Pelodiscus sinensis: one gene and its partner. The protein of the gene in region 1 interacts with the protein of each later gene in a biochemical or structural test. Links are inferred from orthologs where the notes say so. Each region holds a gene or a part of one and is shown on either strand. Other genes may lie near its edges.

Region 1 (7,225 bases):
CCCAGTGTTCATCTGAATCACTATTTTACTCTTGCTATGTATGAATTTACAAGCTTTGCATTATAGTCAGGCATATTGCACACAACAGCTCCTCAGTTGAAAGTCTGTCCCCAATTGGCTCTCTTCCCCTTGCATTGAGGAAGTAGGGCTGAAAACAATGATCAAGCTCTACATGGATATACCTGCAATATTTCCTAAAGCCCACACGGCCTGTTCACTGATGTGAGTGTGAGGTGAAGCCAACAGAGATATAAAGGCTGGTATAGCCCCACCATCCACTACAGCCTTAGTTTGCTCTGATGTGCCAGAGGCAATGTTGGTAAGCGCCCAAGCCGATTCAAATTGAATAGGGCTACAGTCTGTTCTACCCAAAAAGGCAACAAATTTTGGTATCAAGCCAGCCCGGATTATATGATCTATTGGAGGTTGCTTCTCTCTGGACAGGAGTTTCCTAAGGAAGGAAAAAAAATAAGGGAGTTATATTTTGTCCACTAAAATCTTTAGGGTAGATTCCAGCAAAGCTTGAGAACTATTTTTTAAAGTAAGAAAAAAATTCAAAAGGGGAAGTAGCACAATGCACTGAGAAGTTCAGATAAGCTACCGATCACTTGGAACATTAGCTAGCTAGGAAGCTTTAAAGAGTTAAAATTGCTTAAGGAAATTTTTCCTTAAGAGGTTTTCAGTTGAGTAACTTAAGTGAAATGCTTTATGGTGCTGCAACAATACAAATGCATCTGAACTGCTCAAGAGAGATCTTGTAATGTACAGAGAGCAGCACCTCTATGTCACACCTAAGAATCAGTGGCATAATTAGTGTGCACCAGGCCACACCTTAGATTATTCAAGGGTATACTGATGCTAAGTGATAATTCAGTTTGGCCCTAGTCTCCATGCTGACTAAAGTCAATTCCAAGAACATTTACTTCAGAGAGCAGATTAAAATATTGCTGGTTTCTATACACAGAACTAGGTTTTAACAAGTATTTGCTATAAACTTGTGCTCTGATGGGGGGGGAGGGGGAGGAAATCAGCTAATTCCCAGCAAATCCGATCACGAAAGTTCTTACCTGGCAGCCTGAGTTGCCTGCAACTGCAGCTCCAAGTTGTTACTGTTAATTCCTTTGACAATTTCTTCAACAGACCAGTGTGCAGTGGCCTGCATGAGAAACAGAAACTTAAGACTATGTTGGGAAAAAGGTGTCTGTATAGTAAAGCAAAAGCTCTCTCAGCAGTCCACAAGGCAGACTATTAAAAGAAGGCACTTAAATTAAAAATGGAGCATTGTCCAATTATAATGGGATTCTGAATCCTTATCAGCCATAATTTTGTCTAGCCTAGAAAAGACAGTTATTAGGTGTGACAACATGAATTTTAATTCATTTTATTGCAACCAGTTAGTATTATCATAGACAGTGTTTAAAGCCATGTCCCAACTGTAGACAAAGCCTGCAGTCTGAGGCTATGCAAGCAGGGATTTGGCACTATGTACTCTGTTATAATTGGTAACAATTATATGGTACCACAGACATCCATTGTAACACATCCACTGATGAAGCTGGGAGATTTAGTTACCTGATTGTTTCGATTTTCTTGAAGAGGTGAAGTAGCATCATCTGGGAGAATGCTGACATTTCTTCTTTTAAGCATCTGATCATCTTTCTTAGCTTTCCTCAACTCTACATTGACTTCAATGCGCCGCCGCCTCATTTCCTGAGAAAGGCAGATATGCCGTCATGAGGAACTCTTTTCTTTTTTAAAGGGCTAAATTATGCTTAAACACTGATGAGCACAGACTCCAGTTAAAAAAAAAGATACTCACTGTAGTGTCTTTTCCTTTATTCTTGAACCTGTTCAGACGAGCAACTGCTGCACAAGCATTCTCATTGGTAGACATTTTTATAGTAGTCAGACTCAGGCAATATCAACAGAAGAGAGAGACCTGAAATACATATTAAACTCAAATCTAACTTACTTAGATTTTAGAGAAAGATATGCATTTGAAATCAAGATGGGAGTTAGAAATAGGGATGTCCAGACCTGAGGTGGAATAATGTGCAAACAAGGAGCATTGCCTCATTTCAAATGAGACAACCATTTTTTATTGTTACAAGTGATACGTAAGTTTACCACAAATAAAAATTATACATTTTAGGTTTTCTGCAGCTATCAACGTATAATCACATTAATTACTTCTGCAAACACCACTGATCATTCAGGCACAGTGACAAGGAAGCTTCCGCCCCTCCCCCCAACAAAACAGAAGAGATTTGCTACAGGATCTACAGCTCCCTGGGTTAAAATTTCGATTCCCTTTACGGAACTGACTAGATTTCACTTTGACAATGGCCTTTTAAAGGGAGAGAGCCATTTTGCAGACACACCCCAAGCGTAGCGCAGCCGCTTCATTTATAACGGGGTACAGATCTCCGCTCCGTGTGGAGGCTAAACCAAGCCCCAAACCAACACCACGAAGCAACCACAGTCGCACCCTGAAGAATATATTAGGCGAATTAAAATAAGCCAGCAACCCAGCCAGTGCCTTCCTTAGGAGAGTGGCGGGCTAGGAATCGCCCATCGCTTTAGTAACCTGCAATGAGCAAAGGGGGGGGGGGGAAACGGTCCCCCACCCGACTATCTGTGCAACCCATACGAAACCCCCAACGCATTTCACCCTCGATAACTCCAGCCCATCCCCCCACACAGCCCCAGAATCTCCCCCTCACAAGCACACACAGCCCTGCCCCCCCCACTCCCACCGCTCCAACACACGCCCTAGAGCCCCTCAGCTCCCCCTTTTCTTTAACCTCCCCCCCCCACTGCCTCCCAATTCAGCGCACGAGACACCTTCCCCCCGCCGCGCGCGCACCTGCACCAGCGATCGCTGCTCGTCCCTGCGGCGCAGCCTCTGACTCGACCAGGCCAAGCACCAGCGCACACGTTGCCGCCGCCTCCGCCCCTTTTGCCTTGACTCCGCCCGTGGCGGGATTTAAATTTCCCGCGTCTTCGCTCTCCGATTGGCCAGTTCGAGCCAAAGCAACATTCTCATGGGTCCGTTTGAAAAGCAAGCTCTTCTCGCGAGGCGGCGGGGGAGAGGGGTGGGGAATCTCACGAGAACTCCGCCGGGATCATGGAGAGGTCTGATTGCACGTCACAGAGCGTAGAAACGCGCTACAGAGCGTAGAAACGCGCGGCTCGCGCCTCCAAGAATACCGATCCCCCCAGCACGCAAGGCGCCACCTAGCAGCCAGAAGCCCGAAAGAGACTACAGTTCCCAGCATGCAATGCTCGGCCGGGTCCTTGTCTGCTCGAAGGACTGTGGAGCATGGGATGCTGGGATTTGTTGTCCCCGCAGGGTCAGTTCTTATGTGGACTTCAAGGGTCCAAACGATCTGCTTTCAGTAGCAAGGAGGTTGAGTGACGCCTGAAGGAGGAAATCATTGCTCTGCTCTTACCTCCCCCCCTTTACACCTGCAGGGTCACATCCTATAGCAGGGGTGGGGAACCTCAGGCCCAGGAACTGGATATGGCCCTGTGCCCTGGCTTGCCTGGATCCAGCTCCCAAGGCTCAGTCCTCCCACACCCCTTAGTACTGATGAGCCCTTGCTTGCGCTCCAGTTTCCCCCTGACCCCCTTCCACCGTGCTGCTGTCCCACTGCAGGGCTGAAGCACACAAAATCTACTAGGCTGGGCTCCCCTAGCCTCTGGTGTGCAAGGGGAATGTGGGAAGTGTCTTCCTCAGTTGTGGGCCATGTTAGTGAGGGTTTTATGCTTTTTTGTTTCTTTGTTTTTGTTCTTTTGCTTCTCTCTTGTGTGCAGTCCCAACTGATTTTTTCTGTGGGCCAGCAGCCCTTGACCCAAAAAAGGTTCCCCATCTCTACTAGGGTTAACCATGTTTGAACTTTCAAAAAAGGACACCAAAAAGGACACTCCTGAGAGGGAGTGTATCTGTATCTACACTATACTAATACACCATGACTGTGTCTACATTGGCATGATTTTGTGCAAAAGTGGGTGCTTTTGCGCAAAAACTTGCTGCCTGTCTACGCTGGCGGGGAGTTCTTGCGCAAGAACACTGACATTCTAATGTGTGAAATCAGGGCTTCTTGCGCAAGAATTATGATGCTCCCACTCAGGAATAAGCCCTCTTGTGCAACTGTTCTTGCGCAAGAGGCCAGTGTAGACAGGCAACATGAATTTCTTGCTCAAGAAAGTCCGATGGCTAAATGGCCATCAGAGCTTTCTTGCGCAAGAGAGCATCTACACTGGCACAGATGCTTTTGCGCAAAAGCACATCTCTTGCACAAAAGCACATGCCAGCGTAGATGCTCTCTTGCGCAAATACTTTAACGCAAAAACTCTTGCATTCAAAGTATTTGTGCAAAATCTTGCCAATGTAGCCGTAGCCGTAATGAGTTGGTAGCTACTGATACAGATACACTCTCTCTCAGGAGTGTTCTCTTTTTTGAACGTTCACATATGGTAACATTAACCTCTGCCTTATAGCATGACCAAACCCCTGGTCACCAAAATCTACTGCATGCTTTAGCTATGCAGAACTGTATACAGCAGTGGTTCCCAACCGTCGGTCCACAGACCAATGGTGAGCCAGGGAAGCTCTGGGGGTGGGGACTTAGGTACACCACCCAGGGCCTCCCCTCACACCACAGCTGTTGAGAGGTCTCCCCCAGCTGCAGAAGATCAGTTCACTGTGCAGTGGGAGGGCCACGCGGAGCCTAGCACGGCACGCTTAGAGCAGCCACAACCTGGGCAGCAGTGCTCAGCTGGAAGCGAGGAGGCAGCTCAGGGCGGGGGGCGAAGCAGGCACTGGAAGGTCCAGGGGCACGGTTGGTGCTGGGGGGGGGGCTCTAAGAGGCAGGGGGCTGGCATGGGGGGGCTCTGAGGGTGAAGCTAATACTGGGGGTCTCGGGGTGTGGGAGGCCCAGCAGGATTGGGTGCAGTGGAGCTCCGGAACAGGAGGCTGGCACTGGGGAGTCTGGTGATGGAGGGCTCTAAGGGGGGACTGGCACTGCGGCATTTGAGATGGGGACTGGCACTGGGGACTCTGAGAGCAGGAAGCTGGCACGGGGGGGGGGGGGGGCGGTTGGGTGCAGGGGATTCTGGGATCAGTGTCTGGTTTGGGGGAGTAGTGGAGGGGTGGGGGCCTCTAGGTGTTAGGGCTGGCACTGAGGAGTTCTGGGGGCTTGGGCTTTTTATAATGCGGACTAGCATACCCATTCACAAACTTTTGGCAGACCAGCAGCATTTTATTGCATATTTGAATATTCATTATTCACATAATGAGTGTGCAAATATTCAAATAAAATGTTAGCGGTTTGCCGAGCTATGGTATAAAAAAGATTGGGAACCACTGGTATACAGCACTGTAAGCCCAGGGTTCAAACTCAGCCTCAAGTATTTTCTGTCTACACACAAATCACGCTATTTGAGGGTTCATACTCAGGACCACATTGGGGTGGAGCAGCTGAGGCTCAGTGAAGCCAGGACTAAGGTAGCAACTTTGTAATATTTAAAAACCAGACACTACAGCAGGCATGCCAGAACCTCCTCCATCCTCTCTTCTCTTGAGGTACCTGCCCCTATCTCACCTCTTTCTTGAGGTCCAATCCCATTTGGTCCTCTTTCTTGCTGTCCCCTCCACTCTTTGCTCTTTCCCTCTTCTGCCCCCTACTCCCATCCCACCCAGGTCACGAGGGAGCTGCAGCCCCCTGATGCTGGGGGAAACATCAGATCATCACCCACCCAGCTGAATAAGGACTTTGAGTGTTGATCTGGTGTCTCCCCCAACCACTGTAATTGGACTTTGGGTGTCCAGTCAGCAGATCTGAATGGTCACTGTCAGGTTCCCTTTTCCACTATACTTTCCGATAAAAAACTGGGCGTCCTAGCCAAGACCTAGGGTTCAAGCCCATTGGACTCTTTCTGTGGCAATCAGGTATCCCACACTCTCATGGTCTAACTTCCTTTGTCCTCTGGACAGTCAAGTTTAGTGTCTGTCAGATTTTCTGAAACTTCACAACAAAGAAACACCCACATTTTGGGAAGACGATAGGAGGTCTGGGATACGGATGATTGGACACTGATTTACATAATGCAGTGTAGATGCTGGAGCTGCAGATTGGGACCCAGGGTTCAACCATTCCTTACCTGTGGTTTCAGATGAGTGTAAATACTCAAGCCCAAGTTTAACAAACTGAGGATCTGCTAACTTGAGTTCTGTTAAACCTGGGCTCATATTACATTGTAGGGCACATGTGCACAACAACAATTAAATACCTATGGCTGGCCTGTGTCAGCTGACTTGGGATGTAAAATAGGTGGTAGATATTCAGATTCAGGATGGAGCCCAGACTCCTCCTTGAGCCTGACTGTCTGCATAGCAATGTTTAGCCCCTCAGCCCAAGCCTGTGTCAGCCAGCCTGGCCTAGGACTGCGGCAGCATTGTGTATACATTCCCAAAGCCATACCCTTTGTGCCTCCCTCCTTGCTCTTGGCAAAACCAAGACCCTCAGACTCCAAACCAAAGGAGGCACTGGACCTAAAGAAGAATACCTGCTGCTCTTTACTGGGATTTAAAGTAAATTGATTGAAGATGCACTACTTGCATACTAAACACCAAATCAAAAGAGCATCAACCTACTCCAACCCCCAGAATCCAAATAAAAAACATACTAGGCCTTAGTTTACTAAGACTTCCCCAGAAACTCACAAAAGCCAGCTCAAAAGTAGAGGCTTTGCAGTATATGTCCAAAAGAGTAAAAAGATTTGGCATATTTAGCATCTAGCAAAGAGAAAATTCCAAATTTGAAGGGAGACCACACTGCCAGCAGCTCACTGTCATGTAGCAAAGAAGCTCTAGGTCAAGTTGAGTAGCTTTCCTGATCAAAACAACAGCAATTTGGTGCAGAGTGAAAAATAGTGTTTCAGGTAAAAAGTAAGAATGTTAAATTTAGATTAATCAGCTAATTGAATGGTGGATGCAATTTGCATTGTCCATTTGATTAGTTGATAAGGGCACCTCCACTTTTGAAATGTAGCAAGAGCCCTGCCTGCTCTTAGAATCACAGAATACTAGGACTGAAAGGGACCTTGAGAGGTCATCAAGTCCAGTCCCCTGCCCTCATGGCAGGACCAAATACTGCCTAGACCATCTCTGATAGACATTTATCTAACCTACTCTTAAATATCTCCAGAGATGGGGATTCCA
Region 2 (7,076 bases), on another chromosome or scaffold:
AAAATTGACAAATATTTAAAACCTGTGGTGCTAATGTGTTTCTACCACAAATAAAAGCTTTTAATGCAGAGCAGGCTGTGGAAATATTTCATCTTCACCATTTCTAAAAAACAATGATCCACACACAGCAAATTCTGGATTATTTTGAATTAGTATTAACCATGCTTGAGAACAGCATTGCTTCTTTATACTGACAACCGTATTTAGATAAAAGAATATGAAATTAAGAAGGGAAATGGAAGAGAAGGAAAAAGAGAAGAGTTAGATAGCTTTTATTTACACATTTTGTCACAGGGTTACTTCAGAGACTCAACTGCTTTAGAAACTAATCAAAAATAGTTTAAGATAGGAAAAAGATCACATTTAACAAACTTCAGTGGCAGTTCAGGCAGACAGAAGAGCTGAACAAACACTATGCTTTTAAGCCAAGAGCTATGCATTTTAACTGTTTTACCTGGACGCCGTATAGAAGGATCTGGATCTAGTGTCTTCTTTAGGTATTCTGTTAAAGTCTGTAAATTGGCATCACTGAGTTCCATAACTGCAAAACCTAAAGATGCATAATATATTTGGTTAAGAATTCAGAGTAAAAAATACTTCCCATGCAATCTGTTTACCAGCCAGATATGAAGTGTATGAAATTATTTAGGATTTACATTTTCATTTGAAATTTCAGAAAGTGAATTCATAGCCTGTATTATATCCATGCAAAACTGATGTGAAAATGTCATACTTTTTGCTTTAGATGTATATTTATTTTCACAATTATGCAGGACTGCCAACAGCTATTTTATGAGTTAGGCCTGAGCACCTAGAGAATTCCAAGCAGAACAGTTAAGTTCTCTGGAAAACTAACTCTTGCTTAAAGCCACATTACGAGCATTAACTTTTGTAAAGAGCTTCCAGTATAAAATACTCTAGGAACAGAAACCTCCTTCAAGCCAAAGCCAAGCTATGCTACTCTTCCTCTCCCCATATTATTTTACACAGATTTCCAGGTTCACCTCATTGATCTGATACCTTCACACCTTAGTTGAGATCATACAAGTGACAACTGTCACTCAAAGTCAAGACACATTTCAGTTTTTGTACCAGCTCTTCCCCCCACTCCTACTTTTCCCAGGTTGGTCTGTTTGTACCTCTAAAGAGCATCAACATATACACTATAAAATGCTGGAAAAATGCTTTAGAAGTAATGCAAACTATCTGTTAAATCAGAATATGAATTTTCTATTACAAATGTGATGACTTTATTAGTGATGTAAACTATTTAGGTCTTTGGTGTATGTGAGAGAACACTGCATGTTGTAAAGGCATACCCTCCTGCCCCTAAACAGAAAGGTTAGAGGCATCACTTTTCCCTGAAGTATTTAGTTGACCTGACTATAATCACATTCATTAGCTCATATTAGCTAACAAAATCCTCTTAAAAGGTGATATCCAATATGGGTGTGTCTACACAACACAGTTATTTCGAAATAACTAATGTTATTTCGAAATAATGCGAGCATCTACACAGCAATTCAATTATTTCAAAATAATTTCAAAATAATGGCTGGCTCATTTCACAAGGAATAATGCTTATTCTGTAATAGCTATTTCAGAATAGCAGTAGTTTGGATGCTTCACTGCTGCTATTTCAAAATAGTTCCTCCCCAAGGCCTTTCAAAGTAATTACTTCCAAGTGCCTTCTCAGGCTATAAATTGAAGTAGCACATCCACATTAGGGAAGCCTGCCTTGGACTAGTTTTGAGGCTTCCCTGTGGTGTAGACGTGCTATTTTGAAATAAGCTATTTTGGAAAAAAAATTCAGAAATAGCTTATTTTGAAATAAGCATGCTCTGTAGACATAGCTCGTAAACTTGCGTAGGGTATGTGGTAAAATGACTTCATCGACCATTACCATGGTAAAACAAATATTTGATCTGTCCATAATGAAATATTGCTCACTCCAGGAAGGTATAATTTTGCAAGGCCAGGAAATCAACCAATACATAAGTCATTCAGTTAATCTTTTCAGCCTGAATGAAAATCAGTGCTCATGAAACAAATGGACCAAGTATTGGCTTGGAAAGCCTGGCCTAGAAAAGCAGCTGTTTAATATAGGTATTAGGGATGTTAACAGGTGGGTAGTTCGCTAATTGGGTATTTGATAGAATTTTTATCAACTATACAATTAGTCGATAAGGGAGAAAGCACTCAGTCCCAGCTTTTACAAAGCCTGGGAGATACCCCTCTGTGGTTCTGCAGTTTAAATGTAGTAGGAGCTGGGCTATCTACCTTACTGGCTTTTACTACATTTAAACTGTAAAGCCGCAGAGGGAGGAGCTCCCAGACCCAGAGTGAACTGGGTCTGAGCCCAGCTTGCTCAGTCCCTACTCACACTGGGTCCAGCAGCCCGTCCGCAGGGGGTCCCAGCGGGGAGCTGGGACCTCCTGCAGACAGTGGCTGCTGCTGCCAGAGCAATCTCTGCCTGCAGCAAGCTTGGGCTTGCCACGGGCAGAAGCTACTTCATAGCAGCCCCTGACACCTCTCTGCACTGCTGCCTCTGATGGAGACAGCAGTGCAGGGGGCAAAGGGGGAGATGGCGCCTCAGAGATAGTGCTGGTGGGGAGCTTTTAAGCCCACTCCCCCAAGCACCGACTTCTGCTCCCCCACATTGCTGCCTCTAATACAGAGGCAGCAGGTGGGGGGATGCGAGTAATCGATGTGACTAACCGATAAGCCCAGGCTTATCGATTAGTTGACTATTCACTTACATCCCTAATAGATATATTGACATACTCTACCCTAATCAAACTTGTGTCACTTGTGAATTATGCAGACTTGAAAACATTCCTGCAATGATAAGAAACAAAACATACCAGTGCTCCTTTCCCATAATCCCATGGTTAATGGGAATTATAGTAGCTACAAGAATGTTGCTGGTTTTTCATCTTTACACAAAGTTTTCTCTATTTCACACTCCACCTCTCATCTACGGCCTTCATCCTTTTTTGATACAACCAGGAAATAAAAGACATTTTAGCCAAAGCTATGTTAGCTACTGAATTAAGTTTTTATTCCCACCAGTCTCAACCTACTTGTATGCTTTTCAGAGATTTTCTTCCCTGGGAAATTGTCATTGAAACAACTTTGAATTCGGATGACTATGATTTCCTTCTCCGATCTCAGAGCACGAGTTGTGAATTTCAGAGCCCTTTCAGTTGCATCTGGCATTTCAGCCAGTTCGCCAAACCACTCTTATTTCCACAAAGACAGAATGGGCTTTTCTCCTTTAAGAGCTTATTATAAAATAACAGAAAAACCTCAAAAAGAATGAAATTTAAGTCTATCTTCACAGTCCCATTTCAGATTTTGGATTAAATCTTTTTTAGCCTACATTAATTTCAATGGGATTATTTATGGGCCCATACCTGAAAGGAAAATGATTTAATTCACATTAACATTATGAACAATTGGTTGCGGGGCTATATTGCTATGTATCAGAGACGGATGTAACAGTGTAGTCGATTAACCGATAAAAATATTGGTTAATGTGATAGACTACACACATTCTCCCTCCACCCTCATTGCAGTAAATTCTTTAGCAGCCCGGGCAGCAGCCTGGCTCAATCCTGGCTCATGCCGGGACCTACCCCCACTGCAACTTCATTTAAAATGTATTGGGAGTCAGGCGGGCAGGCAGCCTGGCTCAGTTCCGGCTCATGCCAGGTCCAGGAACTCAGATCCCCTTCTTTCCCCAGACAGGGGCTGCCACCACTGTATCAAAGGCAGCAATGAGGGGTGACAGCCAGTTCGCAAAAGGAGCTAGTTTTAAAACTGGCTCCCTTCATGGACCAGCTCCCACCAGGCACTCCACTCTGCTGATACAAAGGCAGCAGCGCAGAGTGGCAAGGGGCTCCTCATGAGTGGGGCTGGAACGCACTGGCTGCCGGCCCCACCCCTGGGGTCTATAGAATAGCTGAGTAACCAATAAGAATTCATGAGGTTAATTGACAATTCCATTAACCAACATTTAACATCCCTAGAATGAGAAAGACATCATAATGCATCTTCCTTAACAGACCACAGTTTAATCTAGAGAGAGTAAAAATTTTTTTGAGCTGACCCAGGCAAGTGTCTATGCTGACAGACACTAACATAATTCACATATTAAGGAGGAAGACACAGTCACTGAAGGCAAGAATTACTATGTCAGCAGTGCAGTGCAGAAAAGAAAAATTCATTGCTCCTCCAATCCACTTGCATGGAATACTATAAAGAACTTTTCAAAACACTGAATGTCTGCTCTAAATCATTACATCACTTATCAGGCATGAGTTTCACGCCGAGGAATACTTATTTCCATAACTCAGTTAAAATATAGTAGGCAGAATATCTGACTGACTAAACCATGATTAGGGATGTTAAAAATCATGTAAAAAGATAATCATGTAAGTGCCGAGAATTTCAGCAGTTACATGCTTACCTGTGCTGTGGGCTCTGCAGTATAAAGCTTAGCAGGGGTGGGGAGAGCAGGAGCCGGTGCTGAGGGGGAGGTGGGAGGGGGGCGGGAAGAGAGCAGGCTTAAAAGCTGGTTCCCCCCAGCACCAACTCTATGGTGCCATCTACCCCCTCTGAGGCCTCTATCAGAGGCAGCAGTTGGGGGTGGAGGGCAGGGGAAGCTGCCAGAAAACAGCCCCTGTCTGTGGGGAGACCTGCTTCACATCCTATGGACAGAAACTGCTGTTACCTTGCGCTACTGCCTCTTTATCAGCACAGGGTGGCAGTCAGCCAGTCCTCAATGGGAGCTGTTTTTTAAACCATTAAAATTGAATGCAGTTACCCAATAGCTAACATCCCTAACTCAAACATCCCTACCACAATACCTTGGAAACAAGTATTTGCTAGGATTTTACCTGAAGCAAGACAAAATGAGGGCAGAGTCAAGGGACAGAAAGAAGTGCAGCGTGCTATGATTCACCATTAGAAAGATCTATCTTTCCTGCAAACCAATATCCCACAATACCCACTTTCAGAGGGTGATGGAAGGGGTTTTACTATCAGTGTTGTAAATCCACCTCCTTGAAAAGTGGTAAACTAGGTTCACAGAAGAATATTTCCATTATTCTAGCCATATGTACACCACGGTTACGCTGACCATACGTCCCGGTTTTTCTGGGACAGTCCCGAATTTAAATGCTCTGTCCCAGTGTCCCTATCATGTGGGAAATGTCCTGGAAAACCCAGTCAGATCATCCTAGAAACTGCACTGTCATTTCCCTCCCACGCTGGGACAGCCTCGCAGACACTAGCATGGTGCAGTAGCAACATGCCCTCCCCCAGCACTTAGGCGGCTCCTGGGTGCTTTGCCAGCCACAACCAGGGCAGCTTCCGGTGGCGCACAGTTTCTGGATTGGGCTTGGTCACAAGCTGGAGACCGGAGCATTCTTCGAGCTCCAGTGCAGTGCACGATGATGCCTGGCAACCCCATGCCAGTCCCTCCCTCCCCCCGCATGCTCCCATCTCAGGATGCTTCTGCCTCCTCCTCCATCTCCAGTCTGCCGCTTGTTCTTTGTACAGTGGCCACTGCGGGGCAAAGGGAGGGAGGGAAAACACACACCAGGCAGGTCCAAGAGCACGCCTTGTATGGCTGCCACTTGACTCCAGCTGGAGGCAGGGCCGCCCATGGTGCTATTTTTAGTACTGCAGTCTCAGTCCCCGCAGGCAGCCCCAGCTCCAGCTGGAGTCAAGTAGTAGTCTCATTAGGTGCATTCCAGCAGGGGCAGCCCAATTGGAATGGGACTCGTGCAGCTGCAGCTTGACTCCAGCTGGAGCTGGGGCAGCTGGTGGGGACTGGGGCAGCAGTACTAAAATTAGCACCATGACCCCAGCTCCAGCCCTGCAAACTGGAAGGCAGAAGGTGAGGCAGGGGGAAAACAAGGGGGAGGTGGGTAAGGAGAGAAAGGGACTTGTACTGAGGGAGGGGGTAGGACAGGAGAAAAAAGGGGAAGGCACCGCGGGGCAGGGTGGAGGAGAGACAAATGTCAGGGGGCCAAGAGGAGACAATGAGGAAAAGGGAGGAAGGGGGGGAAGGTATCAGTGCAGGTGGGAAAGAGGGGGGACAGGGTGATGCTGGGAGAGGGGGAGGGATAATGGGAGCAAAAGGAAGGAGGAGGGGTGGAGATGATGCCAGGAGAAGAGGGGTTGAAAGGAGGGGTGGGCATGAGGATGGAGCAAGTCATGTGTAAGGGCACAGAGGGGCATGAGGGGAACTGGAGCAGAACATGGGTGAGGGGGTGAGCACCAGGGAGAAAGCAGGCAACGAGGGTAGGAGCAGTGAGGGAAGGGGGAGGCACCAGGAAGTTGCAGTGGTAAGGGAAGATGCAGGTGCCAAAGGATTGTGGGGGTGAAGCAGAAGGGCAGACATGTGGAGGGGAAGGACGGGCATTAGAGGAGAGAGGCAGAGCAGGTGAGTAGAGGGAGGTGTTAGGAGAAGGGATTGGGAGGGGTAGCTATAGATGATCAGAGTGGGGCTAGAGGAGAAGTGGGCACAGGGAAAACAGAAGTGCTGGTGCAGGGGTCAAAGAGGATGGGGAGAGGGCAGGTCCCTAAAGGGATGAGGGGAGAGAAGGGCAGGGGCCAGGACAGCAGAGGAGGATGGGGGACAGCAAGCACCAGGGAGGAGTGGGAGACATGGCAGCAGTGGGGAAAAGGGAAAAGTTTAAAGGTATTAATTAACAACTTGGGTGCCACAGTGGCACACATCCGAACAAGCGCACATGAACTCAATATTGGTGCACAATACAAAACTCACTCCGCTCATGGGAGAAAAATCTTAGAGGGAACACTTCCCCCAGCCACTCCCCGAGTTAATGAAATGCAAGGTGGGTTAATATAATTGCAGGCTAGTTGCATGGGGGTACCCGGGGGTGGGGGAGAGAAACCATTCCTATAGGCAGAGTTCTTAGAGTGGTCACATGACACTCTTTACTTCCGGTCATGTGTCCATCTTGACTCCAGGAGTACTACCTCCAGGGGTGGGATTTCTTGTGGCAGGGAGCGTGGCTAATGTGTCCTTAATTTTGGTTCAG

What was found.
Region 2: the proteins of KPNA2 (region 1) and CSE1L form a complex in vitro, tested with the Homo sapiens proteins (2 studies listed by BioGRID). The link is inferred for Pelodiscus sinensis from reciprocal best matches to the Homo sapiens genes KPNA2 and CSE1L.

The regions. Positions count from the first base shown.
Region 1 is NC_134730.1:20,964,384-20,971,608, forward strand, and holds the start of KPNA2 (importin subunit alpha-1), read right to left. Parts: upstream 3,022-7,225; 5' UTR 2,867-3,021; intron 1,940-2,866; 5' UTR 1,895-1,939; coding exon 1,820-1,894; intron 1,711-1,819; coding exon 1,573-1,710; intron 1,157-1,572; coding exon 1,068-1,156; intron 452-1,067; coding exon 183-451; intron 1-182.
Region 2 is NC_134728.1:20,606,660-20,613,735, forward strand, and holds the start of CSE1L (exportin-2), read right to left. Parts: upstream 3,005-7,076; 5' UTR 2,890-3,004; coding exon 2,865-2,889; intron 551-2,864; coding exon 455-550; intron 1-454. UniProt on the Homo sapiens protein: Export receptor for importin-alpha. Mediates importin-alpha re-export from the nucleus to the cytoplasm after import substrates (cargos) have been released into the nucleoplasm.